3 linked regions of the Styela clava genome follow. The protein of the gene in region 1 purifies or fractionates together with the protein of each later gene. This does not show direct contact. Links are inferred from orthologs where the notes say so. Each region holds a gene or a part of one and is shown on either strand. Other genes may lie near its edges.

Region 1 (7,391 bases):
AACATTCTTGCTACTTGTCTTCTATCATCAATTTCAGCAACAAGTCGACCATTATATTCGGCTAAAAGCAGACAAGCTTCATCCACTATTGCCGATAACTTTTCTGCACTCTCAATATCTAAATTATGACATAAATATGTTATAGTAACAAGAAGGACTGATATTTCACATTCCACAATCTACTTAGATATACTGAAGTATGTTAATATAATGTGATAGCCAATGTGCATATGAAAAATTTTATGCAAAGCCGAGAGAAAACCATAAGATATAAGTAGTTCAACATGTGATGTTGCCTACAATTAAATATTTAGAACGAGAATTGTTTTATAAGTCTGATCACATAATTTAAACTGCACTATTTAGTTAACCCATGACATGGCAGCATTAGTATTACATCTCAATAAATAACATCAACTAGAATTCAGTAGACATCTCAGTACAATAGGTTTTCAGATGTAGAAAAACCTACCAGCTATCTTATCCAGTCTTGATATATCTTGAACCTCAGGAGGCAAACTTGCAATTTTTTCACGAACTGCTGCATCTGTAGAGGCCGCATTCTCCAATTCTGTTAGAGCTTTTACTAGATCTTCAGCCTGGATGATACAACAATATAAAAATAGGTTGAAGATTCTCTTGTTATTTTCTAAACCTGCCTGACAAAATTCTTATGGGAGTTATGAATATGATGCTTTAGGTTTGAAATTTCTTTCACGTTGAGGCTTAACTGTATGAATATCATATTACAGACAATGTTATTCTAAACATTTTGTCTTTCTCCTACTAGATGAGTCGGTAGATCTCATTCCTACGTTGGAAGGTTCCGGATTATCTTAATTTCTATGCTATAAAATTTTACCCTGAGTACCTCGTTTTTCTTCTGGCAGTCTTGTTTTGGATTGTTTCAGTAAATGTATGAATTTGGTGAATCAAAGTACAAAAACCTGATCATACTCACAAATATTTAAATTACTTCATTAAGCTACAGACTTTTACATACTGCTGCGAGTTTTCAAATGATGCTAAATAAAAAATCAACCTCTGGAGGATCCCTCGGTGATAAAGTTAAATAATCATCATCCTCTTCTTCTGTTATTAATTCATCGAGTCGGCTTTTCTTTCTTACAGGTTTTTCTTCTTCTGGAGCTTTTGATGATGAATCAGCAACTGCAACTTTCTTCGTTGGCTGTACTTTCTTCGTTTTCGGTTGCTTTGTTTGTTTTGATACTGTTGGAAATGGTCACAAAGTAATTTCACTATTTTTAATCATGGAATTATGAATTTACATGACCAAATCTTAAAACCCCAAAGTTCTTCGCAATATTCGAACAAACAAATATACTCATTTTTTATTATAATGCAGAGCAGCATCAATATGTATGAATCATGGATGAAAAATCCAATTTATTACCTTTCCCTATAGACTTCCTTATTTGATTGACATATTCCATTTCAAATACAGCCCTCTCTTGCCAAATGTCAAGAATACGAAGAACGGATTTCATTGTTTTTTCATCAGCATGTCTGAAAATAAATTTGTTTTGGATATCGAGGGATAAATAGCAATTATAGCAAACTAAGCATTACATTGGTAGATGTTCATCAGATAATTAAGTTTCCAATTTTATCTATACAATTTGCTTGTACCAGAATGAACATTTTTTTGAATTCCACAGATGAAATCTAAAATTATTGTGGATTTACATTGGAACTTATAAACGAAAAAAAAACATATAAAATTAAATAATACATAAACAAATGGTATATACTTAGCAACGTGAGTAAACGCTGTTATCAGTACTCCACCAAATGCTTTATGAAACTCTGGACCTTTCTTTTTGCAATTTTGCAGAATGTCATTTGCAAGGTAGAGGAAGGTCAACTTTTTGCTGGTTTTTGCTAAAATGAAGATATATTTTAATATGTTGTTTGAAAATATATCATACTTAGTTATACCCGATCCGTAATAAAGTTTCACTAGCCTACTTTCTTACAAATTGTCTGTTTTGAAAAAAAATGGGTTTACTGCTAGTCCCTCCTGTTCTTTTACAATAATTCACAACAGAATGATCTTATGATACTGTGATAAATAAGTCAAGAAAATTGTTTAAACTGTCAAAATCATTTCACATTACCTTTGATTAGTTCTGTTTGCCAAACTTGTATAATTGTTTTTGAATGACGACGGTGATGTATCAGCCACAAAGACAGTGTCTGAATGATCTGCATTGAGTTAGTCAATTCAGACAACTTGTCCACAAGTGCAGCTTCTGAGAATGATGACATGTTGGACCGTTACCTGGTCACCAACTATGTCTATCTAACAAAACCCGGAAACCAGGAATACAGCCAGAACCATGCAGTACTGTAACGAATAATATCAGTATATTAATATTATAGGCTAATTCTATACAGACTAAAAGATCAAAAGAAGGCAATTGTGAATTAGGCACTTTTCAGTCATTTTGAAAATTGGCAAAATAAGGCTGAAGGAGACTGAACTAACATGTGAACATGGGCTAGATTTTAGCCACACAAGCAAAGCCGTCTACGCACGGACAATTAGAATTAGGATCGCATTCTGTCATATAGGTCATTATAGGTACCGTACCGTACAGTTTTAGCTGCATTGGTACCATATTGTCCAATTTCAATTTCAGAATTTCTCCTTTTTAGGAAAAATGAAAACCCACGAGTTCAAATTTCAGATAATACTGTAAGTGTAATACAGTAATAAATGTCACGCCGTTAGTTTTATTGGCACCACTTTGCTCGAGATACGATACGGTAACAATGCATAATTTGCCATACCTATCTAATATCTATACTATTCATAAGAGAACCAAACTAGACAAATTTGCGACTTGAATACCTACTTTGGCTAGAATCAAGTCTCACGAAGTTATCATCTAACTGCAGAACTGGCAATTGAAATAGCCAGAGTCTACCGTGTGCGCACCAGCTTACCGGAGTTTCGAGGCGCAGTTCTTACCACTTCATGGCAGCTCCTGCCACGAACGTACCGCGGCGTCTCTTGCCATGGTTTCATCGCTGTATTACCGGTATATTTACAAAGTCATGTACAATATTGTAGTTTATCATGCGGAAATATATCGACTTAAACCCAACCCCAAATACATCAAAACTGTACTTATAAAAAAAGCGTTCCAACTTACCCGATATGGTACTCCTGAAGTATGAGCAGCAAGATGCCTCACAACCGGAACCCTAAGCTGATACACGACCTGAGTTCAGGTTGTGCGCCATCTTGGAGCGCATACTTCAGGAGATACCCTAATATTTATCACCATCAGTGGCAGCCCTACTATTACAGCCGACATGCCATGGTTACGGCAGCAAAATTGATGGTATTCGATTTGCTGTTAAAAAGTCAGTCGCAATGGGTTTGGTCCAGTCGTTGGTTTGGTCATAGCGCAATGGTTTGGAAATCCCGCCATGGTTTTAATGTAGCTCTAGACGCCACAAAATACTTGAAATTGCACTTAGGAGTTTCCGAGCATAGAATGTATTGGCATAGTTGATTCAAGTTTGTATGTATCTTAAACCACTTTATCATCATTCACCAATGCCGAATTAGTGTAGTTCTTCATGACTTTTGACTATCCAGGCCACTTCATCACATTGCATCCCACACGTTGTCTTTTTGGACACGTAGTGGACATAACGATCGTTTCAATATTATGTTGTTGTTGTTGTTCTTGTTCTTTGACACGTTCTTAAAAAGTCGCTTTTCTCTTCGAATACTGGACCAATTGCTTTGAAATTTTCAGTGGTTGAAGAATAAAATTTTCTCCAGAAGGCTATATTTTTTTTTTCGCTATGACGTCATCAAAATTATGTGACTCTACGTGTCCATATATTTGAGCATAGCTCTCTTGTTTTATAAGGTTTCTCATTGTGGATTCGAAACAGTTTTGTAAAAATAAATAAATGGTGAAAAATTAATAAACATAGAACATAGTCACGTATAATAAATAAATATATTCATAAACATAATCCAGTATTATCAAGTAATTTAAATTGTTCCATTGTTGATTCCAGATAAAGTTCACCATGTTTAACAGTAAATAGACATTATTTCACATGTTTTTTAATTATCGTTGGCAGAAAAATAAAAATTAATACAATTATTCATAGGTTCTTGCAGATTACGTCAGTCCTTTTGCGTTCAGCACATTTCCAAAATAAATGAGATATAAATTCCGGTGCTTGAGAACAAAATACACATAAATCATTTCCAGAAATATGTTTAATCCTTGGTTTAACTTTAACTGAAACATTAGTTTATAATTAAAGGTTTTTATATTATTAGATAATATTTTACAATGAATATTTAAACATGCTTCTTCCAAGCAACCATCTCTAAGAAACACTATCCTTTCACCACCACTTACCACACGTTATCTTTGTATCAGATTGAATGGATCATTATTAGCTGAAGTATTTTAAAAGTACAACATCCCGAAAGTTCCAAACATTCGTCAATTTTTTTCAATAAAGTTTGTGTTTTTTGTAACTTTTTTACGAAAGTGTGCTGGTGAGCGGGCACATGATTTTTCTCATATTTAAAACTGCATTAAAGATTTTGCTCGCTTCCCGGGATTCTCCATTTTTAATTTGTGTGTATTATTTATTTACCACCCCCCCCCCCAAAATGAAGTCCCCCCATGGGCATACTACTTCTATAATAGAAGCACTTCTCTATATCATCAACCAAGCAGTAAAAAGCATGGGTTCATCAATTATCCTAATATCTGCGCTATTTCAAATGTGATTAAAGCTAAGATATATAGAATAATATCGTAATTTTTCAAATAAATTGTTTCCTCTTTGAATATATTCTATTTCTATATTAAATATTAAGAAAAAATTCTGAATAGTTAGGTTGGTGTGATAGAGCTAGATTCAAGACTTTGCGCACATATATATTGGAATAAAACTATAAAGTCAAGTCATTTCTTTTCAGGGACTCTAACACTGCTTCAATGGATTCCTTAACGTTGCAATAAAAGTCTACTGACCAAGAAATGTTTGTTGTCCACTCGCACCGGAGGTGCTCTGTATTGTCACTGGCTATATATTGCCATATCTCATATTCTATTAAAGTCTCCCACTTGAATACTAATGAAAATTTTCAATTTGCGGAAACCTGTACCGACTTTTATTTTTATGTCTCTTAAATAATCATTCAAAAAATTTAAAAAATAGTGCATGACGACATTGCTGTAATAAAACTTATTTACAATTGGATTGTCTATTGCCATAAACATTATCACATTAATATGAAATTAAATATTAAATGCTAGAATAAATAAATACTATAGTTTAATAAAAGTAGATTGAAGATAAATTCAGTTGATGGAATTGGTTACGAAATTGCACTGATTCACATCTAGCTCAAATTAATTTATCATCCTAGCAAATTACTTAGCCTATATACGTAGGGTTAGTAACGTCATTTCGGCAGTATACATACTATTTTCGAAAAATAGTTTGAATGTCGATTTTTGGAATGCTTTCAGATTAACTAAATCAAGATTATAGTTTTTATTAAATGAGAAGGAATCTTTTCATTTATGCAAAGACGAAGATTGATATTCGTTGTCAATGAAATCATTTTTTCAATTTGTCACGTAATTATCGTCATCCCAAGAAAGGCATTTTTTCGAATTGCTGCACTAACGATGCCCTGGAAATATTGTTTCGGCAGACATTTTCGTCGTTTCTCGTTTGCAGTGTTCTTGCCGGAATATATTATGAGGTACACTATGGCTGAATATCTTTTCAGTCTATTCTCGTTAGCACTTAATTTTAGTTAACCGGCACCACGTTAAATTACGAATCGGGCACAAAGTTCGGATTATCATGGCTTCGATCCTCCGGTAAAGTTTTCTTGTGATCAACTTCAGTCATGGCGATTCCTTGAATTGCGTCAGCTGATTTTGTAGGCGAACACGTCGTTTTAACAGCGGTACTCTCGGATTCGTCGGCTTTCGGTGGCGGTGATTTGTAGGTCTTCCACGCCAACGCGAAAAAAAACACCGAAAACGCCTGTGGAACAAGACATATAATAATGTTTGAGTATTTTTAACGAGTATTTTTATCCTTCAATGCAATTAACGTATGGTATTGCAACATATATGAACGTACCTTCACCACTGTTAGTACAATCGTCATATACTTTGACATATCTTGGTTGTTATATATTTTGCAAGATCCACAGACTCCGCATTGCATTCCCCATACCGTACAGGACAGATCTAAAACTGCTCCGAGTATATTAGGCATGGGGACACTTCCGAGCAGTCGTAGGATCAGCCACTGAAAAAAATTTGTTGTAGGTGTTAAAACGAACGGTGGTTCAAATTTGCGAACATTTGCTTTCGCGAACATATAAAAAAATCAGCAATAAATGTGAAAACTTTTTGAAACACCTAATCAAAATATGTGGCAAATACCAGAAAAGAAGTTTAATTAAGTACCTGTATTCCAATTGCAAATGAACGCTGGAAATAAGGGACAGCCCGAAGAGAAGCCTGTAAATGATAAGTTGAATTATTTATAATAGAAAATTCAAAAAACATATAATATGTTTTGTTCAAAAATAACTTCCTGGTATATAGATTCCGTAACATTTCAAATATAGGTAGGAAATAAAGGTTGCAAATTTGGCGGTGGAATGACAGTCAATGTCAATTTATTGGTTAAAAAACATTTATAGATGGGTGTTATTGCATAAAATATAACAGTTTCGTATTTGTTGGAAAAGTCTTCTTACCTGTAATGCAGGTTGCGCACTTAAAAATATGAAAAACACTGCTAGTGCAATGATGACTGCAAATAGTCCCATGTTTTGACATGTATCTTGTACGCATTTTCCCTTAATTGCTGACGCCATTGAAACTTCGCTGATTGAGGATGAATCCAATACTCCTGAGCAGTTGTCAAAATTCTGTAAAAAGGATGAATTGGTTGGATCATATTGCTCCCTACTGTTCCGTGATACGTATCCAGGGGTTACGAGCCATTTCCGAAGAAAATTTCGATCCCTTGTGACAATGTCGTTAAAAGAGCAACATGAAACAACTCTGCTAAACTATCACGCATTTTATGAAAAATAAACAAAAAACTAATACATACCATCGCACTGACTTGGTCACATCCCGCGTCGCAGTAAGATAAATATGTCATATTGTCCGCGCCACATACCGGATCGTAAAATTCCGTGCTGCATCCACACGCAGTTGTGTTACAAATGATGTTACTTTGGCCATTGTACGGTATGGTTACTCCGGCAATTTCTAAAAAAAAACGGTTGAAATGAACAAGCCTGAAATATTATTAGAAACGCGTCCATTTATTCATTC
Region 2 (6,203 bases), on another chromosome or scaffold:
CAAGACTGATGTCGAGAACACGTGACTAGCCGAATGACAACATGTTCTTATAGGCTTTCTCTGCTGAAACGAGTGTGAAAAAATAACCAATCCTATTTTAAAAACGGATGAGGAAGTCGTTCTGCAAACACTAGTATTTGGAGACTACAACGAAAGACGGGTGTCCTAAATATCTGGTGTCTATATATGGACACACATTTTAGTGACATCCCCTAAAGACAACAACACATTGATTGTGCCTTTAGTTCCATTCCAATATATAAAATTCTGTGTCATTCCTGGCATAGGGATTTACATAACGTGGCACGTGACCTCAAGAGAATTTGTTTATGATAATCAAAGTACACCACAATCAGACCGCACTGTCCGCAGCTAATTGAATAATAGCATTGTTGCTTATATACTTTTTCTATGGCTGAACTATCAAATAATAGAGTCCAGGCAACCGGAACTGCTGGTTTCTATATCAACATTGGTGAAGCAATTATAAAATGGATGCAAAATCTCTGCTCCAAGATGCTCTTTAATATCAGAAGCACAGAGGAACTCCTCATATAAAAATAGAAAAACCCCTAGAATATCTCATTATTAAGTACAGTACATCCTCCCTAGAGTTTATGTTATGTGACCATTTTACCTGTATGAGAAAAATCTTCTCTTGTATACATCAGTACTTGGTTTCAAACTATTATTTTGTCTTTACCATCACTCATGCTGTTTTTCAATGATTGCAGTATTAAAATTCATGCAGCCTTCATATAATTTGGACCCCAGACATTTAGAACTGGAACTGAACAATCCAGCAAGGCTGCACTTTGCTCTTAATCGATGAAATTTGTTTCATTTATTCATCATCAAGCCTGGAAACTTCTTTTTAATTGAATATCATTGAGAACTTGTAGTAGTTCCTCATCTTCAAATCGGCCTTCTAGACTGGGGATAAGTGCTTTAGCTTCTTCGGCAGTTTCAGGACATAAGTTCGCGAGAGATGCAAGCTCGAATTTATGGAGTTTCTTTTGAAGTAACAGGCTGCGAACACTTGCTATTGTTTCACGATTTTTAAATCGACTGAAACGCTGTGTGTAGTTCAGTGTTTTCATAAATACCTAAATAAAACAAAAAATAAATGAATAATGGGAACACTAAAAATATGGAAAAAATGTATTTTGCAACAGGATGTTGCTATTTATATCTCAATAATAATAGCAAAGACAACTATCCATAAGTTTCGTTCATCTTGTATGCGCTTTTTATGTAGCTATGCTTCATAAAATATAGTTCAGCATTTTCATATTTATTCTTGTTTCCAATTGTTGGGCAAGATTTATACCTCTGATAATTCTTGTTCTTCTTCAACATTTTCATTTTGCTGTTTCCGATGTTCAAGTAACATATGAACTTCCGAGTTGAGCAAAGTTTCTGCATTCTCAAATTCAGGAGGAAATTGTAGCTGCGATGCATCTTCTTCTTTGTCTTCCAACACAGAACTAAGAGCTTTTGTGGAGGAGGACGTCATGACAGAAATTTACAAAGAAATTATAAAGTATATAAATATTTTATCTGGATAAATATAAGATATCATCTTCAATGCCATTTTGTGGCATAATTTAGGACTTAAATAACTTTATTTCTACAATGGGAAACAAGCATGGCAGAAAAAGGGTTCAATTGGACTAACTATAACACAATCAAGCATTTTTCACTGTTCGTCAAGTAAACAAAATTCAAAATAGAAAATCCAATAAAAAATTCTGCATGCAAAAAAATGAATGTAATGTAGTTCTAAACTGATACCATACATCTTTCACAAAATTGCTATATTTGTGAGGTAGTTTTCCACTGAGAAGACCTGTCCCACCAGTACTGTAATTTATGAAATATCCAACATGCAGAATACTTTAATCGCTTTTTGCAAAATAATCTTCTTCTTTAGTTAATCCAGTCATTTGTTCACATACTTTCCAAAGTTTCAGACCAGTTTCTGAATCTGTTGCAACTGCTTTTAATTGTCTCATCCTCATATTTGAGAAATACCCTCCACTTTTTTCCTTGAGTCCTTTTTGAAGGCAACAGTACAAAATGGTTTGGCAGCCATAAAAAAGTGGACGCATGAAGCAAGCTTTTAGTATCAAGTGGCCAACCTTCATCAAGGTATTATGGATTGCTCCTGTACCAAGTTCACTGGCAATCACACCAGGATGAAGAGCATAGGTTGATATAGAACTGTTTTCTGGATCCTCGGATCTCAGTCTTTTATTCAGTTCTGTTGTAAAATATACATTCATCAATTTTGTATTTGAATATTGTTGAATTATCTGCTGATAAGGGCTTTCCTTGGTAAGTCCTAAATTTATATTACCAAAGTCAATTTTTCCAATTGTATATAAATCAGCACTGACATTTACTATTCGAACATGTTGGGAATCTGATGAACTTTTCAAAAGTGGAATTAAAAGATTAGTTAAAAGAAAAGGTCCGAGTTGATTTGTTGCTAAAATAATATCATTCCCATCATTTGTCATTCCAGGAACAGCAACACCTGCATTGTTTATTAAAATGTCCAGCCTAGGTTCTGTATCAATGAAATTCCTCACAAATCTTCTTACATCCGCAAAATCTGATAAATCCAGCTTCATGTAGTGCACCATATCGTTTCCACTCTGGCTCTTGATATCAAAAATAGCTTCTGACGCACGCTGTTCATTTCTACTGGCGATAATTACCCGTGCCTTGCGTTTTGCAAGTTGTAGAGCTGTCTCTTTTCCTATTCCATAACTTCCACCGGTAATAAGGACAGTTTTTCCGTCAATTTCCAAATCATTCTTGAATACGGGTCCTGTTTTGACAAACTTCATCCACGCATAAGTTATGATAATGAGTAAACAACTCAGCGCTACCAATAGACCACCATCCATTGCATTCGGGAATCCATATAGGCCGCGAGCCGAGGCCATTTATCTTTCAGTTTCGTAGCGCACATCAGGTAACTACCTGAAAATGATTTTAAAATGTTCCTTAGAAATTTAGTAACAAATATTGCCTTGTTCCCACTTCCAAAAGTTGCACGTTTTACAGAAAAGACGCTTTTACTACAATAAATATGTGTTACCATCTGTCCTATTTTCTCTGCTTTTCCGGTATCATGGGCCAATGAACGCAGACTTCTGCACGACGTAACAGTCAAGTTAGTCAGCTGTAGGTGGATCCCCAGTGGTCGGATGAATATCAGATGTACTCAACTGCTCGCTTTTGCGTTGAGTAGCCTTTCCATAGTTTTTTTCAGTTACCGGTAATATTAGTCCAGTTATTCTAAGGAGGTGTTGAAAAGTATAGGTAAGATATTAAACACTTGTATATCCTTGCCATAAATAGCAATTTTAGTTGAGCACTAGCTCATAAGACGTTGTTAAATAGGTACCGTACGGTGCGGTAACTCCAAGGAAGGCTAGACCTAGAATAATATGTCACAAACAACGATATTTTCTGGCTTGCATGAAATGTTTATGATTAATTTAATGACTCTTCTTGACTATTCAGCAGACTTATACTACTATATAGGCCACAGCATATTTGGAAATAGAAATGAATGGCTGTTTCTGTAATGCACGGTTGTGTGAAAGAGAAGAAATTAATCAATTTTACTAATGTCGGTTGGTCTAAATCTAAATTCATAGAGTCGACAAGAACCTGGGAAGCAATGATAAGTTATGCCGGAGTGGAAAGAAAGGTAGCATTGGAAATGATTGAGAGGTGAGAAATGAAGTTGTAGACAAACAGTTGATGTTTCAAAATATAGTCTATAGTCCATACTCATACTGTCATAGGACATTTCAGACTGTGATATATCAAAATTTAGTGTAGATATAGTCTAGTAATGGTATGCAAACACTGCTGGACTGTAGAACATGCAATGAGCATATATACGCTCATTTAGTACATCAGATAAAATGCATTATGTATTCAAGGTATTAGTTAGTATTTAGGGGTATTTTTAAAATCATGCTGCTCCAAATATTATTTTCTTCCTTATTTTAGATACTGTACTACAAAAGAAAACGGCAATGTTCCACCAATCCGACCTAACGCAGGCTCTGATCCCTGCTGCTATCAGTGCTATAAAATGGATTAAACAAGAAGTCTTGAAGCTTAAAGGTATATGAGAATCATAATAGTTGCAAACAGCTTAGATGGGCTATTCATATTGAAATACTTTAGCACTTTTCTGCAATTGGAACTGCCCATCAAATTCATGTTGGAGACTTCATTGAGATTTTCAATTCATTTTTTTCCCTCGACTATGAAGATCTTTTGAGGTTAACGAGGTATTAATAAATAAAGCTGAGGAATTTGAAGAGGATATGAAGAATGTAAATGATACCAGGGCACGTCTATTTAACACTGTCAAACATAAGGATTATACTCTCCACCCAACAATGATTCACTGAAGAAGCATGTGGCCCTCAAATCAGTTCTTGAGTTGGCAAACTGCAAAGAAAAATAGTCAAAATAATTTATGAAAGTGTGGCAAAATCAACTTAAATTGCACAGATTTTTGTTTTTGTATTGACTGCAGAAATCACAGTACACCTATAGAGGAAAAGTCGAATTTTGAGATAGTGGATTTCGAAAACAATTCAGAAGAAAGTGAATTAGATATTACAGTTGATTTAATAAGTATCATACATTTGTTTTTTTTTTCGGACATTTGTTAGTGTCGTAGTCCTGTTTCTAGAAATATTATTGCCTTTGTTCAAATACATAACCACATAAACTAAAAAAAGATTAATTGTAAATTGTAATATTTCTGTTCACTATGTTATGTACATATTGTACATTCATTTAATTTTCTTGACTTTTGCGGTAAATTTCTAAGTGAGAAATAACTGATTTATTTGTGTTTTCGTGCTCACGATGTTAATTTGTGACTTCATTGCTTAAAAATAAATACGTTTGATACTTGATAGCTTCTATAAAATGGATGTAGCTTTTTATGCTGTTCTTGTTGTAAACTGCTTGTGGTTATTACATAAAATTTATTCTCAAATGTGAATCAGCGTTGTTGGTGTCGCTGCTTTCGAGGTCACTCCCGACTCCTGTCACACAATTAAAGTATTTTTTGTTGTTGGTTACATGTATGCCATATTTTTCGTAATCTACCTAATAAATTATGATTGACTGAGGAAGTCCGATTTTGGTCAGGCAAAACATTACAGGAATACATTTGTGTTAGTGTGCTGTAGGGCTCTCGAATTGTATAGTTCTTATGTATGCGTTGTAAACTTATGGTTATTGAATTTCCGGGAACCTCTTATATTCAATTTCGCACCAGGATTGTGGAACAAGCTGTAATGCGTTCATTATGTTCGTTTTCACACAAAACTGAAGAATTTATTTAGTTACCAGATGTGCGCTACGAAACTCATTTTCTGGGCGTTTTCATGGTTTCGTCTCACGGCCCATATCCGTGGTAAGGATCTACAAGTGTTTAATAATTTACTTATACATTTTTCAACAACGTCTTAGCATAACTTAACTAATAATAACTAAACAGGGCTATGGAAAGCCTGCCCAACTCAGCGCAAGGTCGAGCAGAAATAACTAATATTCATCCGCTCGCTAACAGCTGGTTTAATTCAATTGTTACGTCATGCAGAAGTTGTAGAGTTAAGAGGTTCTACAGGTCCTATTTCTGATTATTGGGCTGTCTTGTCAATCTACTTCCGTAGCTAACTCTCGACACAGTAGTAACGCACACATAAACACATCCAACTTGTATGAAAGAACTTGTAATGAAAGTATATTTACAGTATATACAAGTCACAGTCCAGTAAAATTCCACAATCAGGTTAAAAGTTCCACAGTAGATAGATAAATTTCCACAGCAAGTATAACGGCAGTGTAACACAGTGAATGTCAAAACTTGATGTCTGTATGTAAATGTATTGTATGTGTATTGTATGATGTGTTGTATGATGTGGTTACAATATATTTGTGTCTCCAGCCCAACAACAGTACTTAAATTTAGCTACAAGACACAAAAACAATAAAAGAGTATAATTAGCCTTCGACATACAACTCAATTAGAACCTATATTACTAAATAACCCTAAACATCCTAACAATCCTAAATTAGCATAATCAAAACCCTACAATTTGCAACTCAATGCCGCAAAGTAATCGCAGCTACTAACAAAGAAATTCATG
Region 3 (7,179 bases), on another chromosome or scaffold:
ATTAGTGGCAGCGGTGTTCGGAGTCCGAGAAAGTTCGATCCACCCTCCAATCATTAAAAAACGTTTTCAAGTTCCTAAGTTCTGGAATGTGGATAATAAAAATGACCCTGCACCGACTTCCCTGTTTACGTCCGTAATATTGACTAATCTGCAAGTTGTCACTGGTTGTGTAACAATTGGATTTTTAGCAGCCGCTCAGTCACCTTTTTTACTCGAACAGACTTTCATGCATGGCGATGAACAGTAGCTTGTTTTCGTGATTTTGCATGCTATTTGTAACTTTTGTGATGGGAAACATATAACAGTATGTGGACGCCAATTTTATAAACATATAAACCAGTATGTAAGCGCCAACTGGCAAAAAATCTCAAGATAAACATCGTTCTGTTAGTCGCTAGTTCGCTGTGCAAAATATAGGGAGAATTTTTCAGGGTCAAAGGTTAAGGAAACATTCATTATTGCACAGTTTTTCAGACAGCAGGTGTCAGAATTGAGCAGAGCAGGTTTCGTAGGACAGGAAAGCTCCACTAGATGTACCAAAGCTTTGCTTATTTATTTTATGTCATTATATTTTCGTATGTAATACGCTAATACCGGCCTCACAATGGTGATTTGAATAAGTAACATGGTTTCTCAAAAGTAGTGTCCAGTTTACAATTTCCCCCACATAACACCGATGGGTGTGCCATTCCTGAACACTGATCTCTTGTTTATGACTCCCACTACCGGTACGGTACCTAATTTTATACATGCTGTCTCAAACTCCAAAATAAACGGGCTATAAACTCTATCTGCTGACTCATTTTCTGCTTTTTTCATATCGTGCGACCAATTCTGATAGTTTGATTACTGGTTTAAATGAAATGTTTAAGAGCTCATATGACCTTGGACGGTCTTGCTTACTACGGTACCACCGTACTTCACTGACCTCCACATAACCTTTAAATTGGATAATGCAGTAAATAAAAAGAAGTCTGTCACTTTCTCTGTGTCAGGCAGTCAGAAACACAATTCTGTAACCTTAAACCTGCTAACCCATGAACTCATTGCGCGCTTTTCTTCCTAGTCCATTCTCCTGAAATTTTGAAACTGACTACTGGTAGCTATTCTCATACAAAACCATTGCAGTTCCAGCATATTGTTTGTCATATGATCATCTCGTTAATCAAAACAAGCTGTATGGGAATATCAAATAGTTGTTTATTCTCATATATAACTAGGTTAAATGCTGATTTGTCTGGCTTATTTCACAATCAAAGTATTCACTGCAGTAAATTTATCATGCTCGATATATTTTAACAACATTCTTAAATTGGCCCTAACCTTATTTGCTGTTCTTGTCTGGTGAAGTTTAAAACTATATAGATAATTTAATCATGATTCTCAATCACCAATTTTGTAGTGGCGCCTACATGACCCTTTGTCTTCATGCACTTGTTAGCACAACTAGGATAAAGCTCGATAGCGATAAAGCTATTGTACGTCAATCATAAATTAACGGGTACTCCTGAAGTATGCGCACCAAGATGTCGCATAACCTGAACCCTAACCTGGTACACAACTTTAGTTCAGGTTGTGCGCCATCTTGGTGCGCATACTTCAGGAGGTTCAATTAATGATTACCGATTACCGACTCTGCTGTATGCAAGCTTTCTTCAATCGACTGTTGAGAGTGCTGATAAAAAAAATATGAGTTTTGAGTCTTTGTAGAAATTTTGAATTCTTCTTCCTCAAGGCGTTAAATACATGGCAATTCGCTATTATTACGATCCTGTCTGGCTCTAACAAGTCTCGGAATATCAGTATGAAATAGCCGAAGGTTCAAAGCACATCATTATAATTTTATTGTAAATATCATTACACATATTCTGTTTACTCTGGCTTCAATTTCTCACATTCCTACCGTGTTTCCTCGAAAATAAGACTGGGTGGTATTTCAATTTCTTCCGAAAAATAACACTAAAGCTTATTTTCCAGGATGTCTTATATTTTCATTTATCAAAAACAAATTCACAAAGTAGAGAATTACGAGATTTTCAAATATAGAAAATATGAAATCCGATATCCATTGACTTATAAATAACACGTTTTTATTCGAAACAATGTTAGTGACGTTTTCATTTTTGACTCCCCTAAGTATCAGGCTGCAAAATAGTAAATAAACGTAGTAGCAGTTAATTTTTCATTGTCAATATATAGCTGATTATATAATATATACACAAAAGTCATACCAAACATTACTATTAGGCTGTAATCATAGATTCAACCAGTCGATCAAAACTAACACTCAACATTTTAGGGAACGAAATTGTGACAAAATTAACTGTGCTGAAAATATTGTGAAAAATGAGAGGTTGTCATTTGTGACTTTTAAAGACTATAATTTTGCTTTTTATATTCTCCTTATTATTGAGAAAATAAGAAAATTTCTAATGACTATCTATATTTATACAAAGTATATATAAAACTAGTAGAAATTCCATCGGTTCGCTAAAATTTAGATTGTTCATATCTGAAACAATTAACTGGCTAACTAATCCCATACCCGACATAGACTGGTAGCTTAAGGCGAGGCCATGGTTTGCCATATGATTAGGCAGTCTTATCAGCTTTACTTCCACCCGGGATAAATATGAAAATCCTATCTTATGTTTCTGAATTTAATTGTGAAAGCTAATTTTGTACTGTCTTGGACTCAATACATTCTGTCTGTCATTTACACATACCTCAGATTTTTTTTATTTTTTTTTTGGTATTATTTTCAGAGGTATAAGCAATAACCGTACTCATGATAGAACTAAAATAAGGAAAATTGAAATAAAATTATGGCCTAACCCTAACCTGGTACACATACAACGTTCCGGTGTTCGCCATCTTGGTGTACATACCACAGGAGTTTCAACACACATTTTCAACATGTTTGCCTCACTATCTGTTATTAGTAGCTAGTCATTTTTGACAAATTCTAAAAAGGTGGCTCAGCTTAAAAAGTTCGAGAACAACTGGTGTACAGTATTGATGAAGAGCCAATGACTGAAATGAAACGGTTTATCATAGCTTGTATTTGATATTCTAAATTCCAGATTGGACAAATTATTTGTTTTATTTGAAAATTATTTTGAGCAATTGGAATCTGACATTATACCCAATTTAATTTTTCAAACTAAAAAAAATGAACCGACCACCAATCAAATCGCTGTTCATCTTAATATTTCCAAACTCAAATTTATTGAATATACATCTGATATTTTTAATATGACCCAATTTGGAATGTTCAGTACCCAATTTGGATATTTCAGATTCAAAAATATTAATTTGTAATTACATTCAAAATTGTAAGCTTTTCGGTTTTGGCCATTCCTTCATGTGATTTTTTTATTCATTTAATTAAATAATATTTCATGATTTTGCCTCTTTCAACATGATTTAAGACATTTCTCGAATATTAAATTTTTCAATTTTAGCCATACAATTTATCTTTCTGTTATGAAACTGGGAAAATTGAAAATGAATTTTCAATCAATAATATATCAAAATTGACTGAATAATTTGTCATAGAGGGCGCTAGAGTTTAATTCAGGGTTGTTAATATTATAAGGGCTGGTGTAACTTATGTGTGATATCATGTGTGTTATAGAGGTATAAGAAATCTTTTCTGCGCTGTTAGATTCAGCACAATTCTATATTATTTTGTATGAGAATATAAGTCAGATTTATTCCATGTATACTGATTTGATATTCGCTTTGACTATTATTAAAAAATTATTAATATGGTGTGACAAATAATTTTTTTTAATTCATTTTTTTAGCTCAAGTATTTCACACTTTTTTACTATATCCTTGTGGTTAGATGTGTGAATAAATTTGAATTACCGATAGTTAACTTTTAACATGTAGTAACGCCCTTTCTTTTCAATTCTGTACATTTTATACCTTACATAGGGTTTTATTTGCTCTCCTGATTCAGTAATCAGTTTTTATCTATTTGTTTTAAATTCTATTTTAGAATTAATTTTTTGATGAAACTGCTAGATAAAAATTAGCATAAGTTTCTTAGTTGACATTCCAAAATAATCCTATGCCTGAAGTGAAATACACAAAGCTTTCTCGGCGTTACGGAACACCTGGAGAAGAAAAATACATTGATTTACAGTTCAAAAAACCGCCACAAAAAATTCCTTGGCGAGCGATTCGGGCTGCTGTTATTTTATTTTTACTTGGAAGTATTCTCATCATTGTTGGAGCTCTTCTAGTTTCTGGACATATTGACGAAAAATATAGTGATCGAACGTGGCCCGTTCTTATTCTTGGAATACTGACATTTGTTCCGGGGTTTTATCACGTAAGAATCGCTTACTACGCTTGGAGAGGATATAAAGGTTATTCGTTCGAAGATATACCAGAGTATAATTGAGTAGTTGTATTTATTTAAAATCAGAAAATGGCAAGGGATCCTGATTCTGTTTTGAAATATTTGACTGAAGTTGAGGAGCAAGCCGAAGATATTCTCTCCGATAAACAACAAATTGTCGACTTGGACAAACGAAGAAATATGAACAGAGAAGCATTAAGAGCTATAAAGAATGGCGTAGCCGCACCCAATAAATCTAAAACCTGGTTAAATTCTGGTGGAATGTTTATCAAATTACCGTCAAGCGCAGCAACTGATATGCTCACTACAGACCAACATTACCTTGACGAAGAGATCAACAGTGTTCGAACAAAATTACATGATAAAGTTAATAAAATGCGAGATGTTGAAGGACAATCTGATTTAAAAGGATTTGACTTGAATGCCTTAAGTAAAACTGAATTAGAGGGTCTTCAGAAAAGTAGGCTGCTATGAAAAATAAATCTACTTTTTGGCAAAAATTTGTAAGAATAAATAATCACCTTAAATTATAATCTGGGTGTTGGAAAACGCACCATTTGACCCTAATAACGACACTGTGGAAGTTAACAATCTGTCGAATATTTTGATAGGATTTTCACATTTACATTCACACATTTCACATTCTTTGGGAGAGGATAACTGAAAAAAGAAAAAAACGGCTAAAATATAATATGGCGAAGCAAGGCTTTTCGTTTGGTAAACAGTCCTATTGCGTATAGGAATAGTTAACCAGTAATTTGTTTCAGATGCGTGAACTTGATGGTGTAGGCTAGGGCTACTCAACTATTTTTTACCAAAGATTCGTATACAAAATTACTGAGTTATAGTCTTTTCAGAAATTATATTTAGACATTTTTAAATGCACACTTTCTTAGCTGGCTATTGATTATTCTCTGATCGAGATAGTCCAGCGCATTCATAAGCAAATTATACAGTACCTTTAAATCTATAAAAGTCATTTAATAAAAGGAACATTCACATATCCAAAGTGGCGCCAATGATCAGAAATAAAGAATCGGGTGCGGTCCGAATCTAATACTCGAAAGGTGCGAATTCGGACCGCTGTCCGCCAGTTGAGTAGCCCTCGTGTAGGTCATTGGCTTCTATCATCTAATGTTATTTCAGTGTAAAAATGTCAAATTTTGCTGTAAATTGTAATTTTTAAATATTTGATGCCCAAAATAAATGGAATATTTAAATACTTTCTAAATTAGTTTTATTCGATTCAGTGAATAATCAATTTTACGAATCATTTAAAATGTTTTTAATTGAATAAATTGAATTTTGCACAAATTATCGTTCATAGGTAAAAGGTGCAATTCATGAAAATTGATATAGTCTTGCGCTTGGTGTTTGAAAGAAATCTTGTCATTTACCGATCCCCTAAAAACGGTCGCAGAAGAGTATTATTAAAAATGATGACCATTACTGTTATGTATTACTTTTATTATTAACAGTAAGTAGTTATCAAAATCCTTTGAATTCATCCTTGCTATCACTGTCAGTTCGATCTTTAGCTGTTGGAATTAAGTTAGCATAATGTAATTTTGTTTGAGTGCAATCAGAGGTATGGGCCAAATTTTTAGTGCGATCAGGTAATACGGCGTAATCATTTTGCGAGCCACGGCCTCTCGTCTTGTTACCAGTCCATGTCGGGTATGAAATTAGTTTGCTGGGTATTTATTTCAGATGCATGGAAACGTATTTATCTGTATTTGTTGTCCAATAACAGAAATGTTACAATCGTCATCTGCTTGGTACTAATCTGAATTGGATAATAATAAGTATTTAGTATATACTGAATATGTCACTAATGTTTTTCATTGTTACTACCATTTTTCCATAATATAGCATATATAGCATTCCATAGTAGCAAAATGACTGTTAGGCCTAATTGATTGTTTATCAGGAAAATTTATAAGGTCATGTGCATTAAATCCCAATTAAAGGGGACTCTGGGCTACTGCCGAAATGTTACGAGATGCTAAGAGTATATAGTTTTGTAATGTTGCATTGTTTACCAGCAGATGCCATTTACTTGAAATTTGAAACAAATCATGTCAATGCAATCAGGCTTTTTGGCTTAGAAGTTTATTTGTCTAGCCAACAGACCTCAAATGCTGAACACAGATATGTGTTAATAAGTAGCAAAACAATTGTTTTTAGTTCTGGTAACTCTTAAACTTTTATTAGCTAATTTTTTGTGTCTATTCATTTTGACCCTAACGGATTACAATATTTCTAATTCCATTTATTACTTTCTCATTATTTATTATTTTAGCTTATTAGTATTAGATGTAAAGATTTTTAGTTATCTTCCAAACCTGCGGACTCCATGGCGCTAACACTTGATTGGTTATGGAGATGCTTTGGATTTTCTTCTAATTCAAGAACAAATCAACAGAATTTATCGAATAATTCTGTTGTTCTCAATACAACAACAATGGGAACGGGTACGGTGATTGTTAAAAACGGTAAAAGGATATGCGGTACCGGTGGGGCTCTCGCTACAGCTCCTATTGCCCAAGACAAAGGCTACTTTGAAGCAAAGGTACAAAGCTCTGGAATATGGGGAATCGGACTTGCACTCGCCAACGCAAATTTAAATCATGTTCCATTAGGAATGTGTGAAAAAACATGGGTATTCCGACATGACGGCACTGTGTGGCACAAAAATAATGAAATATGCAGGACAAAAAATTTACCAGCTGAGGGTGACGTTGTTGGTGTTACATTTGACCATATAGAACTGAAATTTTACCTTAATGGCAAGCCATATCCTTTTG

What was found.
Region 2: the proteins of regulation of nuclear pre-mRNA domain-containing protein 1B-like (region 1) and DNA-directed RNA polymerase II subunit RPB4-like purify together in Homo sapiens (affinity purification with mass spectrometry; 3 studies listed by BioGRID and IntAct, counting the BioPlex papers as one, with this or other methods). This does not show direct contact. The link is inferred for Styela clava from reciprocal best matches to the Homo sapiens genes RPRD1B and POLR2D.
Region 3: the proteins of regulation of nuclear pre-mRNA domain-containing protein 1B-like (region 1) and p53 and DNA damage-regulated protein 1-like purify together in Homo sapiens (affinity purification with mass spectrometry; 3 studies listed by BioGRID and IntAct, with this or other methods). This does not show direct contact. The link is inferred for Styela clava from reciprocal best matches to the Homo sapiens genes RPRD1B and PDRG1.

Annotation. Positions count from the first base shown.
Region 1 is NC_135260.1:17,608,858-17,616,248, reverse strand, and holds the start of regulation of nuclear pre-mRNA domain-containing protein 1B-like, read right to left. Parts: upstream 3,018-7,391; 5' UTR 2,876-3,017; intron 2,417-2,875; exon of another isoform or gene 2,369-2,416; 5' UTR 2,290-2,368; coding exon 2,139-2,289; intron 1,903-2,138; coding exon 1,773-1,902; intron 1,528-1,772; coding exon 1,415-1,527; intron 1,231-1,414; coding exon 1,043-1,230; intron 600-1,042; coding exon 473-599; intron 119-472; coding exon 1-118. Other genes in the region: solute carrier organic anion transporter family member 4A1-like, read right to left, coding at 5,860-6,075, 6,175-6,345, 6,507-6,560, 6,803-6,976, 7,165-7,325. UniProt on the Homo sapiens protein: Interacts with phosphorylated C-terminal heptapeptide repeat domain (CTD) of the largest RNA polymerase II subunit POLR2A, and participates in dephosphorylation of the CTD by RPAP2. Transcriptional regulator which enhances expression of CCND1.
Region 2 is NC_135263.1:10,962,932-10,969,134, forward strand, and holds DNA-directed RNA polymerase II subunit RPB4-like, read right to left. Parts: upstream 1,526-6,203; 5' UTR 1,517-1,525; coding exon 1,331-1,516; intron 1,107-1,330; coding exon 855-1,106; 3' UTR 506-854; downstream 1-505. Other genes in the region: dehydrogenase/reductase SDR family member 13-like, read right to left, coding at 1,899-2,915. UniProt on the Homo sapiens protein: Core component of RNA polymerase II (Pol II), a DNA-dependent RNA polymerase which synthesizes mRNA precursors and many functional non-coding RNAs using the four ribonucleoside triphosphates as substrates.
Region 3 is NC_135262.1:6,592,778-6,599,956, forward strand, and holds p53 and DNA damage-regulated protein 1-like, read left to right. Parts: upstream 1-4,303; 5' UTR 4,304-4,441; coding exon 4,442-4,846; 3' UTR 4,847-6,674; downstream 6,675-7,179. Other genes in the region: SPRY domain-containing protein 7-like, read left to right, coding at 6,729-7,179. UniProt on the Homo sapiens protein: May play a role in chaperone-mediated protein folding.